2 linked regions of the Pelodiscus sinensis genome follow. The protein of the gene in region 1 purifies or fractionates together with the protein of each later gene. This does not show direct contact. Links are inferred from orthologs where the notes say so. Each region holds a gene or a part of one and is shown in the gene's direction. Other genes may lie near its edges.

Evidence for each region.
Region 2: the proteins of EIF2B3 (region 1) and EIF2B1 purify together in Homo sapiens (affinity purification with mass spectrometry; 7 studies listed by BioGRID and IntAct, counting the BioPlex papers as one, with this or other methods). This does not show direct contact. The link is inferred for Pelodiscus sinensis from reciprocal best matches to the Homo sapiens genes EIF2B3 and EIF2B1.

The regions. Positions count from the first base shown.
Region 1 is NC_134719.1:1,353,990-1,370,453, reverse strand, and holds the start of EIF2B3 (translation initiation factor eIF2B subunit gamma), read left to right. Parts: upstream 1-10,424; 5' UTR 10,425-10,552; intron 10,553-11,288; 5' UTR 11,289-11,298; coding exon 11,299-11,446; intron 11,447-16,464. Other genes in the region: E3 ubiquitin-protein ligase HECTD3, read left to right, coding at 1-34, 360-441, 527-598, 861-945. UniProt on the Homo sapiens protein: Acts as a component of the translation initiation factor 2B (eIF2B) complex, which catalyzes the exchange of GDP for GTP on the eukaryotic initiation factor 2 (eIF2) complex gamma subunit.
Region 2 is NC_134725.1:31,213,967-31,229,721, forward strand, and holds the start of EIF2B1 (translation initiation factor eIF2B subunit alpha), read left to right. Parts: upstream 1-9,914; 5' UTR 9,915-10,035; coding exon 10,036-10,048; intron 10,049-10,252; coding exon 10,253-10,354; intron 10,355-14,881; coding exon 14,882-15,018; intron 15,019-15,319; coding exon 15,320-15,436; intron 15,437-15,755. Other genes in the region: GTF2H3 (general transcription factor IIH subunit 3), read right to left, coding at 253-315, 3,704-3,867, 4,495-4,601, 8,968-9,047, 9,795-9,885.

The DNA.
Region 1 (16,464 bases):
TACTTCTGGGAGGCGCTCAGCAACTTCACCAACGGTGAGCCCGGCCTCCCCTACCGCCACGGCCCAGGGTGCCGGGTCTCTCCCCAGCGCGGCCGCTTGGCGTGGCTTCCCAAAGCAGGGCCCTGTGTCTGCTGCCCAGGCCTGAGCCCCCCCTCCCCACGCACAGCTGGGACCCTCTGCCCAGGCTCAGCCTGTGAGAGCTGGGGGACCCCCTGCCTGCTGGGCCGTGAGGCTGCCCCCAGATGGCTGAGCCCAGAGCTGCGGACAGACCCGCCGGGCGCAGCGATCGGGCACGTTGGCCGGCTCCGGCGGGCTCCCTTCCAGCCTGGGGCCGGCTGACTGTGTTCTCCCCCCTGCAGAGGATCGCAGCCGCTTCCTGAGGTTTGTCACCGGCCGGAGCCGCCTCCCGGCTCGGATCTACATCTACCCGGACAAGCTGGGGTGAGTGCCCCGCCGGGCGCCGGAGTCCCTGTGCCAGAGGCGCTCTCCCTCGGCCGGGGCTGAGCTGCTTGTCCTCTCTCCCCAGCTCAGAGACGACGGACGCGCTGCCCGAATCCTCCACCTGCTCCAGCTCCCTCTACCTCCCCAACTACGCCACGTGAGTCGCGCCACCAGCAGCCACTTCGCCTGCCCCCTGGGCTGAGCCCCACAGAGCGCCGGTCCCGGGGAGGGTCCCGTCAGCTGGGTGTGGGGCGGAGGGGTGGGCCCCAGCAGCACAAAAGCTGGGTTCCGTTCCCGGCTCTGGCGCTTGGCTGTGCCTCGGTTTCCCCCAGCGTCCAGGGAGGCTGAAGCCGTGGCTTAGCAGCGCCTGGCTGGTCCCGGCAACCCGCGGGGCGGTGACAACGGCTCTTCTTTTCCAGCGCCAAGGTGTGCGAGGAGAAGCTGCGCTACGCGGCCTACAACTGCGTGGCCATTGACACGGACATGAGCCCCTGGGAGGAGTGACGCTGATGGTCCCAGGGACTGTTCTGCACTGATTTCAGTGTGTGTGGTGAATAAACCCCCGGTGTCGGCTTGGCTCCGGGGCAGGGCCAGAACCAGCCCGGCTCTCTGGGGCCTCGGCTTCCTGAGGGGCAGGGCCAGCGCTGAGCCGCTAGCTTAGCCCCGCGTCTCCTTTCACCCGCGCGTGCTCCACCTGCCCCGGGAATGCAGCCACCTCTGGGGTGCAGCCCGGCAGGGGGTCTGCAGCCGCACGGCAGGCCGTGGAGCGACGGGACAGCCGGTTCCAGGCCGGCTCCAAGGGCCGCCCTCCTGCCCCGCTCGGCGTGTGATCAAACCCGCTGCACAGGGATCCGCGCAGCCCCCTTGTTTCCCAGGCCGCGTCCTGCCGCTGCTCCCGGAGGGGCTGGGGGCGTGTCCACCCCCGCAGCCCGGTGCCACGGGGCGTGTCGTGGGGATCAAGGCCACGGAGCCCCCAGCGTTCCTGCCCCTTCTCCACAGCCCCCCCTTCCTCTGCAGAGGGACCCCGCCTGGGCCAGGCCCTGCAGTTCACCACTGTGGCCAGCAGGTGTCACTTCAGGCCTGCTGCAGCCCCTGCCCCATGTCCCCCAGGCCTGATCTGGGGCAGTGCCCCCCGCGGCCAAAGCCGAGCTGCTCCATGGCACCATCTAGCCAGGCCCCCGCCCTGCCCTGCCCTGCCCTGGCTGCGGGGGGGTCACAGTGCAGCTGGCTGCCTTTCCCGGCGGGGGGGGGGAGTCCTGGAGCCCTCAGGCCAGGCCTGCGGGGGGGCGTGTCCCTTGTGCTCTGGTGCAGGCGGGTTCAGCTGCTCCCTGGGGGTCGGGAATGGGCAAGAGCAGCACGTGGGGCTCAGGGCTCCTGGGGTCCCGGCTCGGCTGTGCCGTGGTTCCCTCTTCTGTCCCATGGGGCTGCTGCCGGGGGTTGGGCCCAGGCCTGCGTGAGGTGCTGGGAGCTCCCAAAGGCTGGGCTGGTACAGGGGCCCCCCCAACTGCCGGACCACCCCGGGGTGCTGTCTGCATGCCCCTGGCACAGGGCAAGGCCGGGCCTTGGTCGGGTCAGTGTGTCAGCAAGGGGCCAGCAGCCCCACAGGGCCCCTCAGCCCCCGGCCGTGCCTGGAGGGTGTCTGGGGCTGCTGGCCTGGGAGCTGCAGGGCTCCCCTCACCCCCTGACAGCTCCCCAGCCACCACCCAGCCCTGTGTGCCGGGGTCGTTAGCAGCTGCCCTGTGAGCTCCTGCCCGGGGGTCAGTGAACCTCTGGGGGGGTGAAGCGCCCAGGACGCGGCCCTCTTGCCGTGGGCAGTGGTGCTGAGCTGGGGGGGAAGGGCACTGGCCCTTTGGCTGCCCCGATCCTGGTGCCTTGCCCCCGCCTCCTTTCTGCTCTGCTCCTGCTGAAGCACCAGCCGGGGCCACGGGAGGGCACGTGCGTCAGCCCATTACCTCTGCTGCCAGGCTGGGCCCAGCCAGCTGCTGCTGGCAACACCCTCCTAGCTGGAATCCCGGTGCAGAAAACCCCCCGGTGCCTCTCCCCGGCCCGGCTCCCGCAGCTGCAGGGGGGTCTGGCCTGCTCCCTGGGACTGCAGTCCTCTTGCCAAAGCCGCCAGGCCACCCACGGCGGCGCTAGATGCCAGGAAGGCTGCTGCTGGCACCAGGGCCCTGGGTGGGGCTGGGAGGGCTGCCCGTGCCGAGTGAGTAATGTCCCACACAGAGCGTTCCCAGCCCGACAGCTCCCAGGCAGCCAGTGGCCGAGGCTTCCCCCCAACCTGCCGTGGGGGCCTGCCCGTGCCCCGAGAAGGGCTGGGCTACCTGGGCATCACTTGGCCCTGGGTGGCACGTCCTGCTGCTGCTCTGCACCGAGCCCTTGTGGCCAGCAGGGGGTGCTGCACACTGTCGCGGGGGTGGCTCCGGCCCCTGGGCTCCCCCCGTCCCAGCTCTAATCCAGACGCCGGCCCCTCTGTGCTAGGAGCTGCTCGGGGCCGGGCCCTGTAGCTATGGAGGGAAGGGGCTGGGGGCAGGGCCCGGCACAGTTCAAAGGAGCAGGCCCCCCCTTGGAATCCAGCCCCATGTCCCTTTCGGCTGAAACGGGCTTCTCCGTCACCTGCGGCCTGCCCCCTTGGCGCCCCAGTGCTGCGTGCTGGGAAGCAGCTGCTGGGTCCCACCCCAGAGGGGGCTGCATTTCTGTGCTGGCTCTTGAGCCGGATGGAGAGGGGTTGCTGGGCCTCGCTGGGCCGGAGAGGTGCTGTCTGGGTGGGAGACCGCTGGGGAGGGGTCTTGCTCCCCAGGCAGAGTGGATTAGGCTGTGACCAAGCCAGGGGCCCAGGCTCCGGGCCGTGTGGGGCGGCAGAGCGGGGCAGGTGTGCTGCAGCCCCAGCTCTTGCCTGGAGGGGGCGCCCTGGCAGGTGATGCCAGCGCACGGCTCCCTCTGTGACACCGCAGGGCCCAGAACTGCCTGAGCCGGGGGGGATCCCGAGGGCAGCTCCCCCTATGGGCAGTGGGGTGGGCACAGCGGGGCCCGGGGGAGGCAGGAGTGGCTGGGGGGAGGGGATATTTGCCTCAGTGTCTCCAGGGTCAGTGCTGCTCTGTGGGTGCAGCCGGGCAGCAGCAGGGCCTGCGCTGTCAAAGGGACCCAGGAGTCCTGTGAGGCCCCTGGCTGGGGACAGCTGGGGGGCGGGGAGCTGCCAGCCCGAGAGGGAGGACTGGTCGGGTTCTGCTGCAGCACAGGGAGGGTTAATGGGTCTGGGTGCAAAGGGCTCCCCAGTGTCCTGGGGGTGGCCAGCATGGCCCCCAGGCCCTGGCGGGGGGCAGCGGCTGGCAGGGGGGATGGGGTCTGCGTGCCCCGGCGCTGTGAGCTCCCCGGGCCCGTGTGCCCAGACCACCCACAGGCAGGCGGCTGCTCCGCTCCCCCAGGCAGAGCAAAGTCCGGCAGGTCGGGTCAGGCCTGCAGCTGGGTGAGCGGGGGAGGCAGAGCGTGAGCGAGTGGGAGGGCACAGCGGGGCTGGGAGGGGGGGCTGGTCCCCTGGCAGCCCAACCCCTCCCTGGGGTACAGCCAGCTCCACGGCAGGCTGGAGACTGGGGTACAGCCTGTGGGCTTTTCTGCTCCATGGGCTTCCCCCCGCAACACCCGACGGGCAGAGCCCTAAGCACCCTGCAGCCAGAGAACAGCTCCCCGCTTGGGCTCGCCGGCAGCTCCTGTGGTGTCCAACACACTAGCCACACGAGGCTGTTTGGCCGGTTGTGTGGGGCTAGGTGGCTAGAATAATAACTCTAGACCCACCGACAGGCTGACAACAGTCCCCATTTCTGTGCTCACCAACAGCCTGACAACAGCTCTGCCCTGGCCCGATCCAGGACTCTCAGCGCTGGGGCCTCCAGAACCAGCAGCGGGTCGCGGAGGCTGGATGCGACTCCGCGAAGCCAGCGGGCTCCCGGTCCCAGCTGGAGCCAGTCACTCTCCTGCACTGGCTGAAGCGCAGGTCTGAGCCACCCTGCTGTGCTCCCTGGCTGGACAAGGGACCAACCCTCGGCCACTGAACGCCGCGGTGCTGCCGGGTGTACCTGGTGCCTCTCCTGGCAGGAGCTGCAGCTGTCCAGCAGCATGGCAGAGACCCGGCTGAGGGCGTTGTTGGCTAGCCTAGGTGCCCAGCTCCTTGGGTGCTGGCGCTCTCCTACCGCTGGGGCAGCTGCCCAGTGCATGGCATTTCCACAGCACCACTAAGGGCCATGCACTCGGACAAGGCCGTGCGGTGGCCTGCCTGGCTGGGAAGCCCTGGCCCAAGGGCTTGTTTGGGACAGTTACGTTGAACTCTGCAGCCGATACACAGAGGAGCTGCAGTAGGGCAAATCCTATGCCAGCTGGGGTTTCGTAGGCACACAAGCGCTTGCTTGTTCCTCCTAGTTAGCGTGTGTGCATGTGTGCAGAGGTGTGTTAGTGCATGCAGTGGTGCGTATGCGGGTGCAGAGGGGTGTTAGTGCGTGCGGTGGTGCGTATGCGGGTGCAGAGGGGTGTCAGTGCATGCGGTGGTGCGTATGCGGGTGCAGAGGGGTGTCAGTGCGTGCGGTGGTGCGTATGCGGGTGCAGAGGGGTGTCAGTGCGTGCGGTGGTGCGTATGCGGGTGCAGAGGAGTGTTAGTACGTGCGGTGGTGCGTATACGGGTGCAAAGGGGTGTTAGTACGTGCGGTGGTGCGGGTGCAGAGGGGTGTTAGTACGTGCGGTGGTGTGTATGTGGGTGCGGAGAGTGTTAGTGTGTGCGGTGGTGTGTACGCAGGTGCGGAGAGTGTTAGTGTGTGCGGTGGTGTGTACGCGGGTGCGGAGGGGTGTTAGTACGTGCGTATGCGGGTGCGGAGGGGTGTTAGTACGTGCGGTGGTGTGTATGTGGGTGCGGAGAGTGTTAGTGTGTGCGGTGGTGTGTACGCAGGTGCGGAGGGGTGTCAGTGCGTGCGGTGGTGTGTACGCGGGTGCGGAGGGGTGTTAGTGCGTGCGGTGGTGTGTACGCGGGTGCGGAGGGGTGTTAGTGCGTGCGGTGGTGCGTACGCGGGTGCGGAGGGGTGTCAGTGCGTGCGGTGGTGCGTACGCGGGTGCGGAGGGTTGTACATGGGTGCAGTAGGGGCCCAGCCCCAGCGTTGCACAAATGCCAGGCTCCGTCGCGTGACAGTTCTTCCCTTTCCTCAAATCTCCTTTAAAGAAACAGCGAAGTCGCTGTGCCCTGTTCATCTTACGGGAAGGGGCTCGGGGGGCTACTGAGCTGAGCGCCCCACTGGCCATGTCGTCGGCTGCGTGTGGGTAGCGTGGTGTCCAGCACTACGTGTAGGATTTCCCCAGCCCAGCAGGAACGGTCAGTGAATGCCCATGGTTGTGACCTGGGAATTCCCCTCTCCTCCCAGCTCCGGAGGTGGCCCCTGCCACACACACAACGTTCCAGCCACCACAACGTTCTTGTCTTGGAGCCTTGTTGCCATGCGCGGCGGCGTTCCTGCTGCGCCGCGCCCCAGAGCCAGCTGCATCGAGCTCGGCTGAGTTCCCTTTTGATGTTAATCACGTTTTTCCTATGAATCCTACAACAACCCGGGCTGCTCCCCAGGGGGCCAAGCGGGAGACTCCTGAACAAATTGGCCGCTGGAGACAAGGCCCAGGACGATGTATAAGAGGCACAATTGTGGTTCTGTGCCCCAGTTCCTGTTGCGGCTCGTCAGGGCCGCATCTGGTTTGGGGATGGCGGCTGGATGGGTGGTGTGTTTCACGCGCCAGGTGTGGGCTTCAGGTCTCCCCCCCCCCCCCATCAGCGAGACAGCTGCTGTTCTTCCAATTTCACACACACAGCAACAACCCGCCTCCTGTCGCACCTCAAAGGGCCCCTTTGTGTGTGGCAGGGCCGGGGGACGCCGCTGGGGGATGACTTATGGGAGCTAATAACAGTGGGAGGCTCAAGACAGGCCCCAGCCAGCCAGGTGACTCAGCCCAGCTGGGCTGTGTCACCCTGGGGGCTTTAAGGGAGGAGCAAGGCCTAAGACAGGGATGAACAAAACCTCTGGAGGGGTCTTCTCCCTCCATCTGCCTCCTGCCCTCCCCACGCCCAGAGTGCCGGGACCAGCACACTGGCGCAGCAGCGTCTCCTTGGCTGTGCGGGGGCACTGCGCCTTGCTTGGCCCTGGGGCCGCTCAGCTGGTACCTCACCTGGCTCCAGCTAGCCAGGCTCTCAGAGCACGAATGAACAGAGCGGGCAGAGCCAGCGCCCAGGGATGGGGCCGTCGAACCCATGCGCGTGTTTAAAAGCACCCCCGCTGAGTGCCCAGCCTGCTAGGTGGGTGGTTGGCCTCCCGATGTTGAGCTCAGTGTAACCAACGCAGCAACACCTGCCTGAATAGGAATAAGAGATCCTCCGGAAAAGGGAGAATTTTCCGGACAATCACGTCTAGACTGGCGCTTTTCTCCGGCTTATCCCCAAGCCGGAAAAAAGCGGCAGCCATGTAAATGCAAATGCCGCGGGGGATATTTAAATCCCCCGCGGATTTGCAATTGCGATGTGTCTCATTAGCAGCCCTTTTCCGGAAAGGGATGCCAATGTAGACACAGCCCCAGGGAGTGTTGACTCTGAAGCCTAGCGATGGCAAATGTAACAATTACTGTTGTTATCTATTTCACCAGCAGTCCTTTTAGCGGAAGCATCCAATTGCTGTGGGCGTGTGGGCGGAGCTAGTGATTGTGGGTGGGGCTAATGGGCATGTCCCTCTGGACAACACCCTGGAGAAATGAGCCTCGTCACGGGCCTGGATCGACTTGCTCTGTGGTTCCATGGATGAGCAAGTGGAAGAACCGCAGAGTCTCAGCCCCCTCTGCCAGCCTCGAACCTTGCACCCTTTACGCGCTAGTGTGGCGGCAGCAGGGTTACGAGGGGCGGCCAGTTTGGCTCTGAAACCCAGCACTGGATGTTTCGTGGCCTCAGTCACCAGCCCGCAGGCCCTGGCCTTGTCCCTTGCCATGCCAACTGGAAGGGCAGCTGCACCTCAGTGGAGGAGTTTGGGGTCAGAACTAGGGGACATGCTGATGTTTGAGCACTTGCAGCCATTGCCATCCTGCTTTATCAGCCGACACTGACAATACTCATGTCCCCTGGGAGCTGGGGGGAGAGGCAGCCCTGCTGCCCCCATTTCACAGATGGCAAAACTGAGGCACCAGCTTCTGCCTGCCTGTGTAAACACCTGGTAGCTGCCAGAACCTGGGTGGCCTCATATAGGCTGAACTGCGACCAAATTTACCCAGGAATCGAGGCATATGCCCAGGGTGATGCAGGGCCAGAAGGCTACCTCTGCCTTGCCACTGGAAGAGGCTGGTGCTGCCCAAGCCACGGGCAGATGTGGCACAGCGGCAGAGGGACTCCGGGACAAGTGCTGTCCCAGAGCCATTCAGCGCAGGACTGGGACTTGCAAGGCACAGTTGGGACTGTCCCCCCAATCAGAGACACGTGCTCACCCCCCATCCATGGTTTCCTCTAAGTCATGGGTTCCCAAACTGGGGGGGGGGGCGTGAAGAACTTCTGGGGGGGGCATGAGGCAACCCAGCCCCCCCATCAATTCCCCGCCCCCAAGTTGTGCTGCTATTTTTGGTTGTTTTTTTTGCTCAACAAGTTTTGCTGCTATGGGGGGGGGGGGTGAGTGTTTCTCAAAAATCAAAAAGGGGGCGTGATGCCGATAAGTTTGGGACCCGCTGCTCTAAGCGGCTACATACAAATAGTGCTGCAGCTCACAATTGCAACAGTCCCGTATTGCCTGGCGTGCATGGTAATGGAAAGCACTCCTACGAGAATCAGTAGCGCAAGATCGAAGCAGCTCTTAGTGGGAATGGGAGATCCCTCTTTTGCCCCTCGGGGACCCGAGAGGGCTCCAGCGGGCGAGTGCAAGGAAGTGAAACACTGAGTAAGTGAACTTAGCCTCTTAGCACTTACATGACCTAAGCGTATTTCATGGAGCATAGATTGGTTACTAACATGTCAGCAATATAATTGTTGGCCTAGCATGGTTAGTAAGACCTTGGAATACCCCGTTTGGCAAGGAGTGCAAACCAAGCCTTTCAGTCTTTGGAATGTCCTGACTGCCCTTGACTTGGCCATAGGACAAGGAAAGCACAGGCAGGGAGAGTAAGGGGAATCCCCATCAAATGAGATGAATAGCTTTGTAATTAAGCAGTAGAGAAACGTTATATAATCTAGTGGGTAGCGTGGGATTTTACATACAGTCCTAACTGTTAGGAGGCTGTGAATTAGAGGAGGGGGTGCGGGTAAAAGCAGGGAGTAGATAAAAGTGGGGTGTCCTGGCTGTAAAACGAGTGTGTTGCAAAGAAGCAACAGATAATTTATCTGTATAGCCTTTGTCCATGTAACTCATTGGCCTGTTATCCCATTGATCTCTGGGGTGGGGTATTCTGTAGCTATGCTGCAGTAAACTTGTTCCTTGGCTTTGAATGTGGAGTTAGCAGGGGGTTCTGTCTGCTTTGCTAAGTTCAAAAGGCAACCGGGGAGCTTGGTTGGTGGTCCCGGAGACATCCTTCCAAATCAGCGAGGTCTCCGACTGGCAGCAGCAATGCCTCTGCTGGGAGAAGTTAAGCCAGTTATAATAATTTTAGCTCTTGTCGGGAAGCTCTGGCGTTTTCCCAGAGTCCTACTGGTTTGGACTTGAAAATATTATTCATCTGTGGAAATAGTTTCTATTGGTACAGCAGCACCGATGCTTCTTAAATGGAGTGCCTTGGGGGAAAAAATGGGGTTCCCTAGCCAGGAAAGAAATCTGGGGTCCATATTCTGTGGTTTAGATCAAATTGGAAGCAGACCTCTGTCTGATCACGAAATATTTCCAATTCCACATGCAACTTGTCAAATAGGAATTTGGGAATAAGAGCAGTTCAAGAGTAGGGTGACAAGTGTGAAAAGTTAGAAATGAGATGGGTCCTAATAGTGCAAATATCAGACCTGTCCCACTAAAAATGGGTATTTCGGAGAACAGGTGCCCTGCAAAACAAGTGTTCGGCGTGATGAATGGGGGCTCAGAGTGAAGAGCAAAGTCCAGGGAATGAGGGTGTCTAAGGACACTTGGCCAGTGTCTCCCGACAAACTCCATCGTGCCATGCACTGGGGGGGACTCTGCCCCCCTCCCAGAAATACACGCAAGTTGCTGTGGAGATAACGGTGCTGCCTGCATGTTTTGACGCTGTGCTTTTTTCTTTGGTGATCGGCTAGTCCTCCTGCTGAGGGAGAAATGCTCAAAACCAAGAGCCCCCGGTGGCCCTAAAGCTCATGCCCAAAAGGCAAAGAGAGAACCCAAACTCTATCATTTACACTAAGCTATCCCACTGGGACTAGGCTGATCTCACAATCACCTGCGGCTGCTGGGGTTGCCAGGTGTCCGGTATTCACCCGGACAGTCCGGTATGTTTGCCTCCTGTCCGGTAAAAAATTCAGAGAATACCAGACACCTAAAATGTCCGGTATTTTCTGATTTTTTTCCCTGGCCAGGAGGTGAAAATGCCGGGCACCTGGCAACCCTGCAAACACTCAGCCTCCCCCCCAGCCCTCTCCTGGCTCCCAACACCCCCAGCTCCCCTGGTGCCCCCCCCCCTTTTTTCCCCTTCAACTGAATTTTTTCCCGGTGGTTCTTTTTTGGGGGGGAGGGGGGTTCGGTATTTTTGTTGCAACCATCTGGCAACCCTAGCGCTGCCCAGGATCTCTGCAAGGGGGACCCCCCCCATTAATGGCAGCCTGCGCATCCCTGCCCGGCCACTGGAGGGGGCTGGCGAGCCCCATCTGCCCCCAGCCACGGTGCTGCCTGGCTCTGCTCCCCCTGCCTGCTCCCCAGCGCCTGCAGGAGGCTCCTGGGATCGATGGCTCTGTGCTCCTCCCCGTCCCCGCCGCCTGCTGCAGGGGGATCGATGACTCCGTGCTCCTCCTCAGTCCGGGCTGAAGTCCCCCCTCCCCTCCGGGAAGATAAATCGCTCGATGGCTCGGCGCTCTCCGCCGATCGATTCTCTCGGGGCTCGCCGGGTACCAGCGCAGGCGCAGTACCTGCCTGGGCCGCCATTGCTGTCCTGTCAGCCGGCGGAGAAGGCACCTCAGGTAGCGGCTGCTCCATAGAGCCGGGCTCCCCTGGCTGGGGGGCCGGGCCGGGCTCCCCTGGCTGGCTGGGGGGGGGGGGGAGAGGGGGGCCGGGCTCCCCTGGCTGGGGGGGGGGGGGAGAGGGGGGCCGGGCTCCCCTGGCTGGGGGGGGGGGGGGAGAGGGGGGCCGGGCTCCCCTGGCTGGGGGGGGGGGAGAGGGGGGCCGGGCTCCCCTGGCTGGGGGGGGGGGGAGAGGGGGGCCGGGCTCCCCTGGCTGGGGGGGGGAGAGGGGGGCCGGGCCGGGCTCCCCTGGCTGGGGGGGGGGAGAGGGGGGCCGGGCCGGGCTCCCCTGGCTGGGGGGGGAGAGGGGGGGGGCCGGGCTCCCCTGGCTGGGGGGGGGGCCGGGCCGGGTTCCCCTGGCTGGAGGGGGCGGGGCCGGGCGCGGGGGGTTGCTATCCCGTGTGCTGCGCGTTGGGCCCAGGCCAGGCTGTGGCGCTAGTGCTGGTCACCCCCCCCCCCCCCGCTGTGGAACTTGCCCGTTGCCCGCCCCCCCCCGGCGGTTCCGTTGCGCGCGTGTCCCTGGACGAACGTTCAGTAAACGGCCCCGCGAGGAACCGCCGCGAGCTGTCGGGGGCGGGAGTTTGAGGGTCATGCCCCCGCCGAGGAAGAAGGGCGCTGTGGTGGGGGGGGGGGGGCCGCGCTCCGGGATCGCTTTATCCTCTGATGAGAGCCTGGTGCCTCTGCCGCTTCCCTGCAGAGCTGTCGAGATGGAGTTTCAAGCGGTGGTGATGGCAGCTGGTGGGGGATCCCGCATGATGGACTTGACTTCCAGCATCCCCAAGGCCCTCCTGCCAGTAGGCAACAAACCTTTGATCTGGTACCCCTTAAATTTGTTAGAGCGAATCGGATTTGAAGGTGAGAGATCCCTGGATTTAATGAATCCCTTCTGCTGTCAGTGCAGGGTAGCCCCACGGGACACACAGACCTGGCAAAAATTCAGGAGGTTTTTTTGAATGTACAGTTGTCATGGAGAATATTGAGGATGATTGTAAGCATAAGGTCGACATTTGTTAATTTTAATTTTCACAATTGTATAAAGTTATGGGTTTGCAACTTTTGTTAATCTAGTTAAATGTAAACAGTTTTGAGAAATTATGGAGAGCGCAGGTAGTAAATACTTAATAATAACAGTAAGCATTGAGAGTCAAAGACTTAAAGCTTTATATGCATTAAAACAAATAGTCATCATCACACGTCAAAATATACAAAGTACATATCGTTACATCAAAACTCTTATAAATTCTCAACCAGCATTGGCCTTATTTTGTCTAACTAGCTATAAAAGTATTTCATAGACTACTAGAACTGGAAGGGGTCTCGAGGTCATTAAGTCTAGTCCCCTGCATTCGTGGCAAGACCAAACATCATCCAGATCATTCCTGATAGATGTTTCTGTCACCTGCTCTTTTATTGTCAATGGGAATGTGTTTTGTTAAAGTTGTAGGTGTACAATGAAATTGGCATTTACGAGTAAAATAGAATCCTTCCAAGTCTAATAGTTACTGAATACATTCATAGATGTAAAGGCCAGAAGGGGCCAGTTGGATCTTGTCTGAGAATAGAATTTTAAAAAATTAAGAAACAACTAGTTTTGCTGCACTTTAAAGACTAACAAAATGTGTAAGTGGTATCATGAGCTTTCATGGGCACAACCCACTTCAGTTACCCCTATATTGAGCCCAATATCTTGTGTTTGACCGAAGTATTTCTTCCAAAAAGGCATTCCATCTTGATGTTTAGGACATCCAACAATGGAGAAACGCCACTTCCCTTGGTAGTTTGTTCTAGTAGTACCCTCATTATTCAAAAATTGCGTCTGATTTCAAATTTGATTTTTCTGGTGTTTTCCAACGGTGTTTTCTTGCTCTATCTTTCTCCAATAGATTAAAGAGCATCTTGGTACCTGGCATTTTCTTCCCATTAAAGTACTTATACACTGTAATCAACTTGCTTGTGAATCTTTCTGGTGAGATAAAGAGATCGAGTTCCTTAAGTCTCTCACTGTACATCGTTTTCTCCATCCCTCAGATAATTTTGTGTGTCTTCTCTGCACTTTCTCCAGTTTTTCATCATTCTTTTAAAAATGTGGAAACTAGAACTATACTCAGTATTCCAGCATCTGTTTCACCAGTGCTCTGTAGAGAGAGAAAAACACCTCTCTATTTCTGCTTGTTGTTACTCTATTTATGTATCAAGGGTTGCATTGGCCCGTTTTGGGTTCGGGCAGGGGTGAGCAATAAACCGGAGCCAGGATTAGCTCCTGGTGGGCCACTGTCACTTCATTTTACTTGTGCGTCTGCAGATACGGTTGCTTCCAGTTCCTGTTAGCTGCAGATCGCCATTCTTGACCAATGAGAGCCGTGGGAAGCAGTGTGGACAGGAACATCACTTCTCGCAGCTCCCATTGGCAGGTAACGGTGATCTGCTGGAAACAGACATGCAGGTAAATGAAGTGCTAGTGGCCTGCCAGGGGCTAACTCTGGTGAACGGAGTCCAGTTTGTGGGCCACATGTTGCCCACCCCTGCCTTTGGCTCTTACGTTGAGTTATCTGTTATGGTTCCTAAATCCTTTCCAGAGTCGCTGCTTTCTGGCATACAGTCCCCCCACTCTGTAGGTAGGACTTATGTTTTTTGTTCTTGGTTGTCTAACTTTGCATTTGGCTGTAATAAAATGAATTTTATTGGAGTGGGCCCAAATCATTAAGCAGTCCAGATTGTGACAGCCTTATCGTCTTTCCTGTTTACCATTCAGCCAGTCTTTGTGTTAGCAGCACATTTTTATCCGCCGCAGTCTTGTATGTCCTTTCAGATCATTGATAAACATGTTAGACTTCCATGCATTTAACACCTCATATACATCAAAAGTGAAGTATGGGATATGTCCAGCCCACTCAGTTAGCCTCATTAGCACCAGTACTACAATTGACAGGTGCTTTTTTTTTCTTTCCCCTTCTTTTTCTGTTATAAATTCTGGGTTTCTGTCATTTCCACTCCAGCTCATCTGAAAAAGTGGATTTTGCCCACAAAAACTCATGATACTACAGGTTGGACCTCCCTGGTACGGCACCCTCGGGACCTGACCTGCCCCGAATCAGGGAATTTGCCGGAGCAGGGAAGGTTCCCTGCCACAGTCTGCCAGCTGTGAGGGCCCCCTGACTACTCCCAGCACCAGCCGGTCCTGCTGCCACTGCCCTGGCTTGAGGCTGCCTGAGGGCTCCAGCAGCCCGCACTGTCATGGGCTGTCATAGGCCCCAGCTCCAAGCTGCGCTGCACTGCGCTGCCACCGGCCCAACCCCGGCCTCGCTGCCAGCTCTAGCCCTGGCCCGCTGGTGGGGATTGGTTCTGGTCCTGCTGCCACGGGCTCCTGGGGCTGTTGAGGGCTCCTCCTCCTGCAGGCTGCCCGAGGCTCTGGAACAGGCCCCGTGCTGCCACAGACTGCCGGGGCTGCTGCCAGTCCCGGTCCCAGTCCTCCTGCCATAGGCTGCTGAGGGCTTAAACTCCTGCCCTGTGGCAATCTGCAAGCTCTGGCCCCGTACTACTATAGGCCATGGCATGCCCAGTCCTGCACTGTGGGTGCTGCCCCGACCCGGTCTCAGAGCTGCAGGGGGATGCTGCTGGCTCCAGCCCCACTGCTGCAGGCTGCTTAGAGTTGCTGCCAGCCCCAGCCCTTTCCCCTCCTGCTGCTTCAGCCTGGCCCTGCTTTTGGATAGCCTTCCTGCCACTGGTGTGCCGGGCTCTCTGAACCAGGAACATCTGTGGTAGTGCTGGATCACGGATGTTGCCGGACCAGAGATTGCACCTCCCAAAACCAGCAATCTGTGTGTATATTTTTGTTAGTCTCTAAGGTGCCACAGGACTATTTGTTGTTTTTAAAGCTACAGAGTAACACAGCTCCCCCTCTGAGACACGTTAAGATGAGTTAGGCCTGACAGGGCTGATGGCAGCAGCACTCCACTAGAAGCATCCCCCTTTAGTCGTGATTTCCCCATTGGCGAAAGGATTAATGGACACAAATCAGATATTCTAAATGGTAACACACAGAGACCTGTTGGGGAGCATTTCATCTTGCCCGGGCACTCATTAATGGATCTCAAAGTGACTATACTCTTACAAAGCAATTCCAAAAACCAGCTGGAGAGAGACGCTGCGGAACTTGCCTTCATTTGCAAATTTGGCACCTATAATAAAGGTTGGAACAAAGACATGAACTGGTTAGGCCGCTACATTCAACACCCTAATGACATCCGAAGCTCACTGTCGGGCACTTATAGCTCACTCCATTAGCCTCATTTAACATGGACACTCTTAATTGACAAGATTTATTTTTCCTTCTCTTTCCCTCCCCATCTCCTCTCTTTCTGCTATTTATTTGTACCTCTGGACCCCTCGCTCCATTGATCTGAAGAAGTGGCCCACAAAAGCTCATGACACTACCTACATTTTTGTTAGTCTCTAAGGTGCTGCAGGACCGTTCACTGTTTAAGTTTCTTCAGCTCTGTTAGCCAGTCCTTAATCTATGTTATGTGTGTGGTATTGTCCTAATTTCTTAATCCAACTGTCCTCTAGTGCTAAGTCAAACATTTTACAGATGTCTCTATGTTGTATCTAGGAAATTACCCTAATCAACCGAATGCTAATTCTCATCCAAAAAATCAGGTTTGTTTGATCAGACCTTTTGTTTCATAAAACCATGCTGTCTGGCATTAATTATTTTCATCCTTTAATTCTGTATTACTTTTCTTTTATATTTCCAGCCAGTTTAGATCTCTTGATATCATTCTACTCTTGCCAGTGTTCACAGGTCCCAGTATATGAATTTCAATAACTTGAAATTCAACCCTCTTTTTCTTTCATCCAAAGAATTTATGAAAATGTCAAGTGAGACTGAATGTACTAACAACCCCTGCTCCACTGGCCATTTCACCTCAACTCAAGACCTTGCCATTTATCACTTTCCTTTCTTTAGGTCCTTTAGCCAGTTTTGAATCCAAGGAAGTTTCATTTTGATTTTTGAGAATTTTTGTGGGGCGGGGGGTGGGGGAAACCGGGTCAAGTGTTTTACATCAAACCAGTTGCAATTCCATGCTCCTCTCATGCTCTGGCTTTCTAATTCTAGTAAACAAAATAAATCCGTTTTGAAAAGCAGCTCCCAGTTACTGTTACCAAACTAGGGATGTGACCAACTAGTTGGCTAGTCAGTCTCCCTCCCTTGCTGTCTGTCAGAAAGAGGCAGTGGGGGAAGGGAGGAGGAAGAGAAGGGGGCGCTTCAAAGCGGCAGTGCTGTGTGGAGCCTGGGGTCAGACACCTGACTCCATGCAGCGCTGCTGCTTTGAAACGCCTTGTGTAGCCTGGGGCCAGCTGGGGAGTCCTCCCCCCCCCCCCTTTCTTTCCCCGCCTCCCCCTTGCTGCCTCTTTCTGGCAAGACTAGAACTGCTTGAATACCCCGTTGGCCTATGCTCCCCACAGAGCTTTCACCTGTTGCTACACTTCAAAAGCGGAGGCGCCTTTATCAACTAATTGAATAGTCAATGCAAATTATATTGACTATTCGATTAGCCAGTTAATCTAAATTTAACATCCTTATACCAAACTGCCTTGTTTTCATTTCCTCCATATCCTTAATTAGTAAATCCAGGAGGGTTTCTTTGGTTAGATTATTTTCATATTGGATCATTCTTTTGTGTGTGTAATCTGGGGACATTTCTGATGCCTGTATGGTTGTAGTGGTTACCTACCGTAAGTCCTGGGAAAGTCTTCAGGAATATAGTATTTCATGGGTTTCAGTTACTTCAAGAAGTTTTGCTTCTCTCTGTCCTTCGTTCTTGGATGTTAGTAGTAAATGCCTGTTGCAGTTGCTGTTTTGCTATAGTCTT
Region 2 (15,755 bases), on another chromosome or scaffold:
TCTAGGAACATCTGAGAAACAGATCTAAGCTTTCCAAAACACATTAAAATAGACAGAAAATGAATGACTGGCACTTAACTATTTTACCCTCTTTTATCAACACTTTACTGAACTTTCTGATCTGATGGTATTATACTCATAAGTCATAACTTTACCATAATAAACTAACAATATTCTAACATAGAATGCTACTACAAAGGGTTCAAAAATAAGACAGACAGATTTTGAAAATTCCAATATTAAAAAGGATACAACAAAGTGCTTTGGCAAGGGATCCAGCCAACAAAGTTTCTGTTTGCTGGCCCTTCATGTCAGCTATAACACAAAAAATATACAGACATTATCTTTGTACAAAGTATTTGAAAACTAAACATTTCTTGAATTCAAGTATCAGAGGGGTAGCCATGTTAGTCTGGATCTGTAAAAGTGACAAGGAGTCCTGTGGCACCTTGTAGACTAACAGATGTATTGGAGCATAAGTATGCATCTGATGAAGTGGGTCTTTGCCCACGAAAGCTTATGTTCCGATACATCTGTTAGTCTATAAGGTGCCACAGCACTCCTTGTAGCTTTAACCTGAATTGTGTCTTGAGCAAACAACATTAAAACATAGGCCTAAATAGAGGTTAAATAATTCAGTATCCCACTGACCTGAAGCAAATTCTTGCACATTAATAAACTATGGAGTGATGGAGAATAAACTTCAGAAGAAAAATGCAAAGAAGCTTCCATCAGTTGCTAGGGCTCTTACCAGTGATTTTGTAATTATTCATATTAGGCTAAGGGATTTCCTTTATTTCACTGAGATCTGTAGACAGGCATCATGACCTTAATTATTTCAATCTTTATTAAATAAATCCTTTAATTTTGTTTTTTGTTTCTTTTGCCCCTCCCTCCAGCTTCATTAAAGCTTTCTGGTATACAGCTGCCTAGAATAGGACAACATGTTTCATGTGTGTTCTAACCAGCTGTACACCTGTCTTAGCAACCCAGCTCCCAAGTACATTATAACCACTAGCCAAGCCCTGTCTCATGGCTTCAGTGCAGCGGGCTGAGAGGCGGCAGAAACAGGATGATGTGGCAGTAATGTAGGGCAGGCAAGTAAGCGGCATGAAGGGGGGAGAGGTAGGGCACAGGAAGACCCGGGGGACATTGACTTGGGGGGCCAAGGGAGAGATGGTAGAGCGCAGTAGTCAGGGATTTACCACCAGCTCCACTGCTCACAGCATCTCCCACTTCTTTTTTTCCTTAGGACCAACGTGCCACTTGGAGAAGAACATAAAAATGGCCATACTAGGTCAAACCAAAGGTCCATCCAGCCCAGTATCCTGTCCGCCGACAGTGGCCAATGGCAGGTGCCCCAGAGGGAGTGAACCGAATAGAGTTCTCTCTCTTGCTATCCATCTCCACCCTCTGACAAACAGAGGCTAGGGACACCATTCCTTATCCATCCTGGCTAATAGCCATTAATGGACTTAACCTCCATGAATTTATCTAGCTCTTTTTTAAACCTTGTTATAGTCCTAGCCTTCACAACCTTCTCAGGCAAGCAGTTCCACAGGTTGACTGTGCGCTGTGTGAATAACTTTCTTGTATTTGTTTTAAACCTGCTGCCGATTAATTTTATTTGGTGGCCCCTCGTTCTTATATTATGGGAACAAGTAAATAACTTTTCCTTATTCACTTTCTCCACACCACTCATGATTTTAAATACCTCTATCATATCCTCCCTTAGTCTCCTCTTTTCTAAGCTGAAAAGTCCTAGTCTCTTTAAGTCATTCATTGTGCCACGGCAGCAGCTACTCAATGGACTGTGAGGCACTGCCTCCTGCTGTACTCTGCTGCCCCTGCTATCCCCACCTGCCAGACAGGCCACCTGCAGGACACAGGAGCAATGCAGGGCCCCAGGTGCATTGTACCACTACTGCTGCTAGCTCCTCGCCATACCTGCTGGCCACTTGCTTGGGAGGTACCAAGTCCCGCCACTTATATTTTTTTCCCGCACTTTCCATTGTGTTGCTTTTCAAGCCTCATGTCCCACTTTTGTGCAGGAGGAATATGTGATGCTTTTCACATCCCACTTCAGTGCAGGGGTGTGGGAGAAAGAAACAGAAGCCATCAGCAAAGCCCTACCTACCCTATTTATTCTTCCCTCCCCCACTCTGCCACCACACAGCTCACCAACTGACTTACTGGCAGCCACTTGCATTTTTATTCTGCACGCCACCATTGTACTGCTTTTCAAGACACATTCCACTTGGGTGTGGGGGGGAGGCGTGCCACTTTTCACATGACACGTGGGGGGAGAAGGGGGAGTCGCGGAGGCCTTCCAGTGTATTCCTGTGTATTCTCCAACGTTCTCTGTGACAAATGGCATGATGGACAACTCTCCTTTTATAATAATATAGATTATAAAGAGATAAAATGTGGAACTTCATCTCCTTAGCAATGTCCTTTTCACATAACATTGCAAACTAGTATCCCATGACATCTAAGAAAGATAAGAGGGAAGGTCCTCTCATGGAGTGATAACTGGTTAAAAGATAGGAAATAAAGATTAGGAATAAATGCTAAGTTTTCAGAGTAGAGAGAGGTAACTAGTGGTGTCCCGGTCTGTATTGGGACCAATTCTATTCAACATATTCATAAATTATCTGGAGATAAGGATAAACAGTGAGGTGACAACTGCTAAAAGTATAAAACCCAAAGCAAACTGTGAAAAGCTTCAACGGGGTCTCACAAAACTAGGAGATTTGGCAACAAAATGGCAGATGAATTTTAATGCTGATTAATGCAAAAGAGTGCATGTTGGAAAACTTAATCCCAACTATACATATAAAATGATATAGTTGACATATAAAATTAGCTATTACCACTCAAGAGAGAGTTATTGGAATCATTATGGACAGTTCTCTGAAAACATCCATTCAATGTATACCAACAGTCAAAAAAGCAAACAGAATGTTGGGAATCATTAAAGGAATAGACAAGAAGACAGAAAATATCCTACTGTGTCTATAAGAAATCCATGATATACTCTCATCTTGACTATTACATGCAGATGTAGTCATCTCGTCTCATCTCAAAAAAGGATCTTGGCATTGGAAATAGTTCAGAAAAGAGGAACTAAATTATTAGGAGTATGAAACAGCTGACATATGAGAAGAGGTGAGAAAGACTGGATTTTTCAGCTTGGAAAAAATATGATTAAGGGGAGAGAGGAATATGATAGAAGCCTATAAAACCATGACTTATGGAAAAAGTGAATAAAGAAGAGTGTTATGGGAATGAGTAAATTACAAGAACAAGGTGTCACCAAATGAAATTAATAGGTAGGTTTAAAACAAACAAAAAATAAATATTTCTTCACACAACACACAGTCAACCTGTGGAACTCCTTGCCAGAAGACGTTGTGAGGTCCAAGACAATAACAGGGTTAAAAAAGAGCTAGATAAATTCGTGGAGGACAAGCCTCTGTTTGTTATAAGCTGGAAATGGGTCATAGGGAAAGGATCACTCTTTCACTCTAGGGCACCTGGCATTGGTTATTGTCAGAAGACAGAATACTGGGTTAGATGGACCTTTGGCTTGACATAGTATGCGCAGTCTTATGATATTTTAATAGCAATTTAAAAAAAGTAATGAGGATGTGGAACCAAATTAATCAAAATGGCTATACTTTTTAACAAAAGATCATCTTACTTTTTGTCATCAGGTCTTTAATTTCCTCTGTGATTACTTCATTTCCTGCTGTTAATAATTCGTATTTACCATCTTTGCTGCCAGAGCAAACAGATTCAACGAAACTACCACCATCTCCAAAGAGATCTGCAAATGCCCAGTGTTTTCCAGGGTACAAGAAACGACTAAAAGCGAGAAAGAGCAGCATAGTATTAATAATTTGTTTTTAGCAAAATAGATGAACACCCACAAATTGAACCACTCAAACAAGATTTCATTCCTAATAATTCTTGCTGCCCGGGGACACTAACAACCTAACTACATAAGAACCATGTTTACAAAACCCTAAATGCTATAAGCCCCACCAATATTAAATACTTTCTCTTTGATAATCATCCTGTTGGGAACTAGTATTCAGAAACCATCTTCCCCTCATTTCTTAACACAGCAATCACTGTGTTGTTTTGACAATCTCCAGGAAGGGAACTTGTACCTCTTTTGTTACCAGTCTCTCTCTCTCCATTTTGAAATAAAGATTATTTTTAATTTCAAAAGCTGTTTTTCTTCACCTTTTTCTTTTCATAATGCCTTACTCTTATTTTCTTTTGCATTCAATAATCACTAAAACCAGAACCCTCTCTTGTCTCCTGCTGTTTTTACTAATTTGTTTTCTGAAGAGGGTATTTAATAGATCATACATTTTACCCTTGGTTTGAATTACTCTCTTCAGCACACTGAGCTATTCAAAACAAACATGTGTGATGGGAAGTTTTACAAATAAAAATTACACTGATATAAGAAAGTTACTGTACCTTTCTTGTGTATGACTTGCTATTACAGCAAGTTTGTTGTTCCGATTCATAAATAGATGTGAATTTCCCATCACCATTACTGCATCCAGGCATTTTGATAATGTAAACTGTTCAAAAAAGAAAAACAAGAAAGGACATTGTGAAAAGCTCAGAAATATAGATATACCATAGGAGCCACCACATTTAAATAAAATAACTTTTTAAAAATCTGCACATAAGTAATATTTTCACTTAGGTTTGGAATTTACAAGGGAGAGAACATAAAATTCAAGAAACAGACAATCTCTACAGGAGGTAGGAAAGTGATTGGAAAATGTTTTTCCATTTCTTTATATGTGCATACAGAGACACAAATGGAAATTAAATAAATATTATAAGAGAGACTGACACACTCCAGAACTGCTAATATTCATTGTGATACTCCGGAATATGTTTGATATTGGAATATCTTTTATATAGGGTTCAGCATCATCAAAGATTAACTAGTTAACAAGAACTCTGTGATATAGGCATTATTATCCCAGTTTTAAGGATAAGGAAACCAAGGAATAGAGATTTTACAATTTTCAAGCGTCCTCTAATCAAATATGCATGTCCACCCTGAGATACTAACAGTTTGTTTTTCAGTGGTGCTGAGCAATTTATACTGATTTCAATTAGAGTTTTGAGTGTATAACACTCCTAAAAATCAGGCCCAAGATGTCTCAATTCAAGGATCTTAAAATTACTGGCCAATTTTGAAAATATCAGACTAAGTTACTTGATCAAAGCTTACAGAGCAGGTCAGTGACAACAGCTGGGATTAGAATTCAGAAGTACCCAACACTCTTATCTTGTATTCAGAAAAAAATTAAAAAACAACAAATAGTCCAACAACACCTTAGACACTAACAAACAATGTAGATGGTATCATGAACTTCTGTAGGCACAACCCACTTCTTCAGATGCCTTATATTCGGTTAGACAAAATGCTGCAGCGCAAATCAATCCAGCATATCATGTATTTAAAAGGGCATTAGACACAACAGTGAGAGATAAAAAGGCATCATTTAAAAAGTCAAAGTTCAATCCTAGCGAGGAAAACAGTAAGGAACAAACTCTGTCCAATTTAAGTGTAAAAATATAATAAGGAAAGCCAAAAAGAAGTTTGAAGAACAGCTAGCCAAAAACTCAAAAAGTAATAGCAAAATGTGTAAGTACATCTGAAGCAGGAAGCCTGCTAAACAACCAGTGGGGTCACTGGACGATCAAGATGCTAAAGAAGCATTCAAAGATGATAAGATCATTGCGGAGAAACTAAATGAACAAGGGAGATCCAGTGGATAGTGTACTTAGACTTCCAGAAAGCTTTTGGCAAGGTGCCTCACCAAAGGTTCTTAAGTAAAGTTAGTTGTCTAAGAGGGAAGGTTCTCTCATAGATTGATAACTGGTTAAAAGATAGGAAACAAAGGGTAGGAATAAATGGTCAGTTTTCAGAATGGAAAGAGGTAACTAATGCTGTTCCCCAAGGATCTTGTACTGGGACCAATCCTACTTAACCTATTTATAAATGATCTGAAGAATAGGGTATACAGTGAGGTGGCAAAAGCTGCAAATGATATTAAACTGCTCAAGATAGTTAAGAACAAAGCAGACTATGAATAGCTTCAAAAAGATCTCCCCAAACTAATTGATTGGGCAACAAAATGGCAAATAAAACTGAATGTTGATAAATGTAAAGTAATGCACATTGGAAAAAATAATCCTAACTATACATACAATATGTTGGGGACTAATTTAGCTATATCCACTCAAGAGAGAGATCTTAGAATCATTGTGGATAGTTCTCTGAAAACATCCACTCAGTGTGCAACAGCAGTGAAAAAGGCAAAAAGAACATTAGGAATCATTTTAACGGAATAGAGAATAAGACAAGAATATCTTATTGCCTCTATATAAATCTATAGTATGCTCACATCTTGAATACTGCGTAAAGATGTGGTCACCTCAACTCAAAAATGATATATTGGCATTGGAAAAAGTTCAGAAGAGAGGAACAAAATTATTAGGGATTTCAAACGGGATTAAAAAAATGGGACTTTTAAGATTAGAAAAGAGGAGACTAAGGAAAGACAGGATAGAGCACAGCTCAGCAACCCACAGTATGCATGCCACAATCGGCATGTGAGCTGATTTCCCGTGGCGCATGTGGTGGGAGTTCAGTCCCACCTCTCCCCCTTCATGCAGCCAGGGGCGTGTGCTCTGGTTTCAGCCTCATTCACACAGCTACTGGCTGGAACACGAGCTCTGGCTTCCTGCTGGAGGGAGGGAGCGGTAGAGGCATGCACATGTCCCTGGGGCTGCCCCTGCTCAGCCTGTGCATGCAGCTTCCAGGAGCTAAGGGGTTAACCCTCACCTCTTCCTGGCTACAGCCTTCTTGCTTTGAGAGGGGGTAGGGCTGGGTGGCCAGTCACACATGGGGCACCAGGACCCAGTATGCTCCCCACCGGCTGTGTGCAGAGATGAGGAGCCCCTTCTCCAGAGCACTTCTACACCCAGCCAGGCTAGAGCCAGCCCTAGGCAGCACCAGGCTCTGCCTGCCCCAGCCTCAGACCTGCAGCCTGCAGGCAAAGAGCTGGTCCGGGCAGGGAAGAAATTCTACTCCCTCTGCCTCTCCTCACTCCAGCACGGCTATTCTGTCCCGCACCACCTCTCTTCACTCCAGCACTGCTACCCTACTTGAGTGCACTAAGGGCACAAGGATGTGGATGAAGAAGGGGGGTGAAGGAAGATCCAGGGGCAGGATGGGAGGGTGCAGAGATTGCACTGAGGGGCATGGGGCAAAGTAGGGGATCAGGCTGCAGGGAAAGAATGGGGGGCCAGAGGTTGCACAGGATACTGGACTTGATGGACCATTGGTCTGACCCAGTATAGCTGTTCTTACATTCTTAAGATATTACTGCAACTATTTTATGATGATTCAACAAAAATTAATTAGGGGTATGAAACATCTTCCATATGATGAAACTTTAATAAGACAGGGACTTTTCACTTGGAAAAGGGATGACTTAGGGTGATGTCTATAAAATAATAACTAGTACTGAGAAAATAGATAAGGAAGTGCTATTTACCCCATTTCATTACACAAGAACTATGGGTTACCAAATTAAATAGGCAGTAGGTTTTAAAACAAATAAAAGGAAATATTTCTTCACACAATTACGAATTTTTTGACAAAGGATGTTGTGAAGACCAAGACTATAACGGGTTCAAAAAAAGAACTAGATAAATTAATGGAGGATAAAGTCCATCAATGATTATTACCAAGACAAGCAAGTTTGGTGTCTCTAGAGCAGGAATGGGAAATAATTTTGATGGGGGGGGCCACTCCAAGAATTTGGAAAGTGGTCAAGGACTGCACTCTTCCATGACATTAATGGATGACGTGCAGAGTCTAGGATGGAGGTTGGGTGCAGAAGAGAGCTTGGAATAAGTGACTGGGGTGCAGGAGGAAGTGTGGGGTCTGGGAAGGAGTTTGGGTGAAAGAGGCGATGGTGACCTGGGGCTCTGGACTGGGGTTTGGATTTTAACCTAGGTCAGAAATGGGTTGTTACCTGGGATGCAAGGGTTTGGGATATTACCTAGGACAGGGGTTTTGGTTGTGACCTAGAATAGGAAGGGACTGTAATCTGAAGAAGGGGATTGGGGGAACATAGGAGGGTGGGCAAAGGGTTTGGGTATGTGGAATAGAGGGCAGGAGCGGGGGGCAAAGTGTTGGGGGAGAGGCTGGGGTGCCTGAGGCAGGCTCTGGTCAGGACACTTACTTAGGTGATTCCTGGCCAGCACTCCAGTGGATTTCTCAGGCAACCTGCCTGCCTGTCCTCCCCAGGCTGCAGGGCCGTGTGTGTGTAAATAACTACAAGCCAGAGGGGAGGGGGCATGGTGCTTCATGGCTGCCTTTTATTCAAACAGGCAACTCCCATTGGCTGGTTTCTGGGATTGTTCTGGGGATTTGGGAAACACCTGAAGGCCCTCCCCACTCCTCCCAGCTCAGAGTTTTGGGAGAGAAACGGCCTGGCAGCCACTTTTCTAAGCAGCGTGCAGGTGGGGCGAGGCAAATAGGGAGTCTGTCTAGGGTTTCTCTGGGCCGGATTTTGCCCAGGCCTGCCCTACCATCTGTTAACCAGAACTGGGAATGAGTAACATAGAATAGATCACTTGATGATTACCTGTTCTGTTCATTCCTTCTGGGGCACGTGGCACTGCTGGAAGACAGGATACTGGGCTAGATGAACTTTTGGTTTTACCCAATATGACCGGTCTTATGTTGTGTAGTATTATTCTAATTTTGTATTCAAAAAGTATTTCACAGTTTCTCTTCAACAAATGCACTGCAATTTGGATTGTCATTCATTTAAAACAGAACTGTTAAAAAATTACAGAAAAGTCTTCTGGAAAACTACATTGTGACTGATGCTGGTCAGGAAGCCTTACCTCTGATTGTCCTAGTGCTTTCTTCCCCCACCAGATAGGGTTGGTGTCAACGATGACGACTAAGAGATTTAGTTCATCATCTAAAAAAAGCAATAATAATGCATATGTTTGAGAACAGACAACACAGCAGCTCCTTTGGAAATATGGGAAACTTAACATTTAAAGGTCTATAGGCAAAAATACCAGATGTTTTAACACTCATTTAGCTAAGAGTGCATAAGGGTTTGCAGGATCTTGTTTTTATATTGGCCTGTTTTAAAATTAAATACACTTTTATTTAATAACATTTTAGTCACACACACAACAGCAAAAAAAAGTTAGCACACAGTCAAAGATTCAGCATAATTGCAGTTTTTCCATGTGTTTATTGCCAAATATCCATGAACCACATGGAACAGGAGTAGAACGCATTATGTTACAGTAATGAAGACTGTATTATTGGAAGCCGGATAGGAGGCAGAGGCACTACAGAAATGCATGGACCGGGAGCCTGACATAGGGCTTCTTTTCAGCGTTTATCGGTTTCTCTCTCAACCCCTCTGTTCACAGATCGCACGCAGGTGCCGTTTCCAAACCCAACGCCTGTGGGGCGTAGGCAGCGTGGCTGCCCCACACAAGGGAAAGGCGGTGCTGGCTGCGGAACTCAGCGGGGCTCGCGGGCAGCAGCTGCATCCGCCGGACGCAGCCCCGGGCACGGCCGGGAGGACGGGGCCGAGGGACCCCGCGGCGGAGAGAGGAGGCAGCAGAGAGGCCTCGCACCGGGCCCTGAGGAGAGCGCGCGGGAGACGCCAGCCCCGCTTCCGGCGCGGCGCCTGGCCAGGACTCACCTGCGCTCATAGTGCCCAGCCTCAGGCAGGCGAAGAGCGGGCACCGGCCGGACTTTCGCTTCCGGCGCCTCGAGACGATGTCACTGCTCATTGGTCGCACGACGCGTGATGCTGCAAGAGCCGGCCGGAAGTGGTGCCCCCGCGAGCAAGCGCCGGGCGGGGACAGCGGCTCCGCGTGAGCGGCGGGAACAGACTCGGCTCTTGCGGCTGCCGGGGGCCCGGGCCGCCTGCCGCTGACACCATGAACGACGCAGGTAAGGAGGCCCGGGGCCCGATCCGGGGTGGGGATTAACCGCCCCCTCGCCAGAGCCGCGGCGGACACGTGCCATCCCCCTCCCGGCCTGAGGCTGCGCCTGCCCCGCTCCCTGGACCGGAGGGACCAGACCTGCCCAGCCCCAGGTGGGGCTTCCCCGTGGCGGGCGGGTCCCTGCGGCTGATGGGCCCCGTTTCCCTTCCAGAGCTGATCGAGGCCTTCAAAGCCCAGATGCGGGAGGATCCTGACGTGGCCTCTGCCGTGGCGGCTATCCGCGCGCTGCTGGAGTTCCTAAAGCAAGACAAAGGTACCGGCCCAGCTGCTCTGCTGGGCGAGCGCGGGACTCCAACCCGGGGCCCTGCCCAGCAGCGACCGGGAGATGGTCACGTAAGATGCGCACTGAAGTGCTGAATCCGTCCAGTAGAGGCCAGTGCAATACACATCACTGACCACCTTGCACACAGCTGTCATAGGCTTGGACGGATTTTGTTTATAAACCTGTTTCACCCTACACATTAGGAATGCAATAGTGTATCCGATTAACTGATAAACAAAAGCTTATAGGTTAATGCTATAGACATGCATTTCCCTCCCCTCAGCCTTGCCAGTCAATTTTTTAGCAGCCCTGTCAGTAGTCCAGCTCAGTCCTGGCTTGCGGCAGGTCCGGGACCTACCCGTGCTGTAACTCAGCATTTAAAGCGTATTAGGAGCTGGGTGAGCAGGCAGCCTGGATCATTTTCATCTCGCACTGAGTCCGGGAGCTCAGACCCTCTTGACAGAGGCAGCTGCTGCCCCACACTGCTACCTGTTTATCAAAGGCAGCAGCACAGGGTAACAGCCAGCCAGTCCGCAAGGGAAGCTGGTTTTTAAACTGGCTTCCCTCATGGATGAGTTACTGCCTGGTACCCCACGCTGCTTCCTTTGATACAGAGGCAGCAATATGATGCCAGAGCACATTGGCTGCTGGCCCCACCCCCAAAGACTATATACTTGTTGACTAACCAGTAAGTCATGAGGTTACTCGACTAGTCAGTTAATCGATAGTTAACATCCCTGGTCCGCATATCAACCAACCAAAAAAGGTTTCCATTGATAATTATTAACCTTTAAAAAGAAAAATGCTGCCTGAGAACTTATTCAAGGACAAACTTAAAAAACAACAAATAGTATAGTAGCACCTTAAAGACTAACAAAACATGTAGATGGTATCATGAGCTTTTGTGGGCACAACCCACTTCTTCAGCTGAATGGAATATTAGAAGTCTGGATCCAAGCATAAATAAGGGCAGGGGAAGAAGGGGGGAAAAAAAGAGAGAGAGAGACAGTGAGTAAATATTTCAAGTGTTTACAAGAGGCTGATAAGAACAATTAGCACCTCCATTGTTTAAGTCATTAGGATGTGGAAGTTAGTATGCCAGCCAATGGATGTCCCATTTCATACTATTTGCATAAGAATTACACTTGTAAATGAAGTTAAATTCCAATTCTTCCCTGTGTATTTGGCTTGTGGAATTGGCCTGAAATAACACCGTGACTTAGAGATCCATTAATGAATGTCCAAGCAGATGAAAGTGTTCTCTAACAATTTTTTGTGTATTGCCTTTTTGAATATGTGATGTGTCCATTTTCCTGTAATGTGGAAACTGGCCAATATACACTGCAGTGGAGCATTGTTAGCATTTGATGGCAAAGATCACATTAGTGGATGTGCAGTTAAATGAGCCTCTTGGTGGCTGATGTGGTTGGGTCCAATTGATGAAATTGATAGTATAGATGTGTGGGCAGATTTGGCACCAGGGCTGATTGCAGGGGTGAGGTCCAGGATGATTATGATGGAGGTAAGTTGCATGCTTACTGGAAATAATTTGTTTAAGGTTAGGGGGTTGTCTGTAGGCAAGGATTGGCCTTTCCCCCAAAGCCTCTGAGAGTGAGGGGTCATTTTCCAGGATGGGTTGTAGATTGTTGATAATGCTTTGGAGAGGTTTAAGTTGTGGACTGTAGGTGATGACAAGAGGAATTCTCTTGTTTTCTCTTTTGGGCCTGTCTTGAGGTAGTTCGTGTCTGGGTATTCTTTTGGCTCTGTCAGTCTGTTTTTTTCAGAGCTACGGGTGGGTATTTCAGTTTTAAGAATGCTCTGTGTAGATCCTGTAGGCGTTTGTCTCTGTTTGTGGGACTGGAGCAAATCCACTTGTAACTTAGGGCTTGGCTGTCAACAATAAATTGAGAAATGTGTCTGGGATGGAAGCTAAAGGCATGAAGGTAAGTGTAGCGGTCAGTAGGTTTCCGGTATAGGGTGGTGGAAATTTGTCCATCATTTAATTGTACTGTAGTGTGAAGGAAGTAGATCCCTCATGTGGACTAATCCAGGCTAAGGTTGGTAGTGGGCTGGAAGTTGTTGAAATTCCTGTGAAATTCTTCAAAGATCTCTTTCCCATATGATGAAGATGTCATCAATATAGCGTAAGTGTACTAGGGGTGAGAGCTGAGGAAACGTTGGTTTAAGGTCAGTCATAAAGACCTTGGCATATTGCGGTGCCATGCAGGTGCCCATGGCTGTACCACTGACTTGAAGATACAGATTGTCTCCAAATGTGAAGTAGTTGTGGGTGAGGACAAACCTCTGTAACCAGGTGTGAAGTGCTGTCATCAGGGATTGTGCTCCTGACAGCCGGTAATCCATCTTCCTGTGGAATGTTGGTATAAAAAGCTTCTGCATCCATGGTGGCCAGGATGGTGTTTTCAAGAAGATTACTGTTTTATAGTTTCCTCTAAGTCAGTAGTGTCTCAAAGATAGGTCAGAGTGCTGGTAGCATAGGGTCTGAGGAGAGAGTCAATATAGCCGAACAATCCTGTTGTAAGTGTGCCAATGGTTGAGATGATGGTTCGTCTGGGATTTCCAGGTTTGTGTATCTTAGGTAGCAGATAGAAATCTCCTGGTCCCACACTACTTTCCACATCCTAATGACTTAACCAACCAACAAACAGTGGAGGTGCTAATTGTTCTTATCAGCCTCTTGTAACCACTTGAAACATCTACTCACAGTAGCTACTCTACACTGCAGGCTTCTTGTACAAGAAGCCTTTTGCGCAAGAGTTTTTGTGCAAAAACTACTTGTGCAAGAGCATGTCCACACCTCAAAGCACATCGCAAAAGTGATGTGCTTTTGCGCAAGAGAGCATCCACACCGTATGGACACTCTTGCACAAGAAAGCTCTGATGGCCATTCTGTGAGTGGCCATCAGGGCAGCTGTGCTTTTTCCCATAGGGGTTTCTTATGCAAGAGAGGTTTTCTCATAGGGCATCTACACTTGCCTTTTTGCGCAATAGCTGTAGCGCAGCAAGGAGTTATGCCTCATAAAAGGAGGTTTACCTACACCAGAGAAGGCCCTCTCTCCTGCTGTTTTATTGTTGATTTACTTGCGCAAAAGCGCATTTGGGGTGTGGACGCCCCATGGGTTTTTGCACAAACAGCTGTTTTGTGCAAAAACCTTGCAGTGTAGACATAGCCTGTCTCTCTTTTTTTTTTTCTTCGCCCCTCCTTTTCTCCTCTCCCCCCTCCTTATTTATTCTTGGAGCTGGACTTCTAATACTCCAGTCATCTGAAGAACTGGGTGGCGCCCACAAAAGCTCATAATACCATCTGCATGTTTTCTTAATCTTTGAAGTGCTTCTAGACTATTTATTGCTTTTAAAGTTTTTCCTGCTACAGACCAACTCAGCTACCACTCTGAAGTTATTTGAAAACATCATTCAATCATTGTCTGACACCCCTGTAATTTCCTGCAACTGAAAACTAAGTTGATAAAAACTGAAAAAGATGCTAAAACTACAAAATATTTGCAGAACTGTGAGCTGCAAATTAAAATAAACCCTAATTAAAATTTTTTTTAATTAGATTCTGCCAAACCTAAATTTGAGACACATCTAATCAAATTCATGGTGTTTCAGATAACTGAAATTCAGAGCTTTGTGGTACTTCAGGTGATTATTTGTTGCTTTTTCAAGAAACAAACAACTGCAGTTCATCTCTGCTTCCAAGATCTTGCCTTTTCTTTTTTACACCAACAAAAATACCCCTGCTCCTGCATTGCAGTAAAAGGCAATCCCTGTGTTTTGAACTACACTGTTTTTTAAAATTCAGAAGAGAGTTAAAGATGAAGGTCTTGGAGCAAAAAAGCAGGCTACACCTTCATCAAAAGTTTGAAGTAAGAAACTTGCCTGGTAGATAATGTGCAGAAATGAGCACATGCTATGAGAAGTGTGCATTAATAATCAAAATCTGGAAAACAGTATTAATACAAGAAAGGTTTTCAAATGTATGCGGTGTTTGTTTCATTAAGTATAATCTGCTTCATTGGATGTGTGTTCGTCTACTCAGAGTGGCTAATCATGGCTGCTGAATTACCTGAATAATGTCAATAACTTGTCCTTCAAGTTACAATCAAAGCACATCAATGAACGGATGGGAGAAGTCAACACTACTTGTTAACTGTGTAGTAGTATTTAATCAATTTTAGTTCCTGGCAGTGATATATGTTTCAGGTGTACTTATATTTTTTTTAAGATTACTGTTATTCTAGAGAAAGTTGGATGGAGGGCAGAATGCAGGTAGAGCTTACTAGACTATAGATTTTATCCAAACTTATGGAATCGGTTGTAGAATTGTTCCATGGTATAATAAACTTCCACTATAATCCTAATACATCGAAGGAAAAATACCAAGTGAGTCCCCCATTAGTGCTATACCAGAATATATCTAAACTTCTGTCTAGCATGTAATGAGTATCTTGTTTTAAAATGAAGTTTGCATTTCTCTCTCTCTCTCTCTCTCAGGTGAGACCATTCAGGGTTTGAGAGTAAATCTCAAAAATGCAATTGAAACTCTGTCTGGTGTTGACTCTTCAGTGGCAGTCTCTTCAGGGGGAGAACTCTTTCTAAGGTTTATCAGTTTAACCTCATTGGAATACTCGGTGAGTTTGTCACCAAATGTAATACTTTAGGGATCAGTGAGGTAACACTTAGTGGTCCCCAACGCGGTGCCCGTGGGCACCGTGGCGCCCACCGGGGCATTTGTGCGCCCACCGAGTGACCAGGGCTGGCCCAAGCCATTCTTGCACCCCAGGCACGCACCGCATGCGCGGTGCCAGCCCCGGGTGCGTGGCACGTGCGCAGCCCTGCCCCTGGGCGCCCAGCAGCTCCAAAAGGTTGGGGACCACTGACTGTTACAGAGTAATCCTGGGCCTTATTTTTTGTTCTTGTTGCTTTTTCCAGGATTATTCAAAGTGTAAAGAAATCATGATTGAACGAGGGGAACTTTTCCTTATGAGAATCTCTCTTTCAAGAACCAAAATTGCAAAACTCTGCCACACATTCATCAAAGATGGTGCTGTAAGTATGAGAGGACCAATTATGCTGTTCTGGGTGTACCATTATTTCTGGTGATGCAAAAAATTGAAAGGTTTTATCATGATCTGTTAGGCAAAACACATTATTTGATGTTGGCTTTCCCAGCTAATGATTTTATTCCTAGGTATCACATTTGCTTATGCTACATATTCAGATCATTTTCTAAAACCCTTTTTCTTTTCCCTCTCTCCACCTTTGTTTCCATACAAACTGATGTTAAGCCAGTGGTCTGGTTCTAAGTGGTTCAGAGCACCCACAAGTACTGGCTTAAATGGAAGTTGTGGGTTCTCAGCCCCTCTGT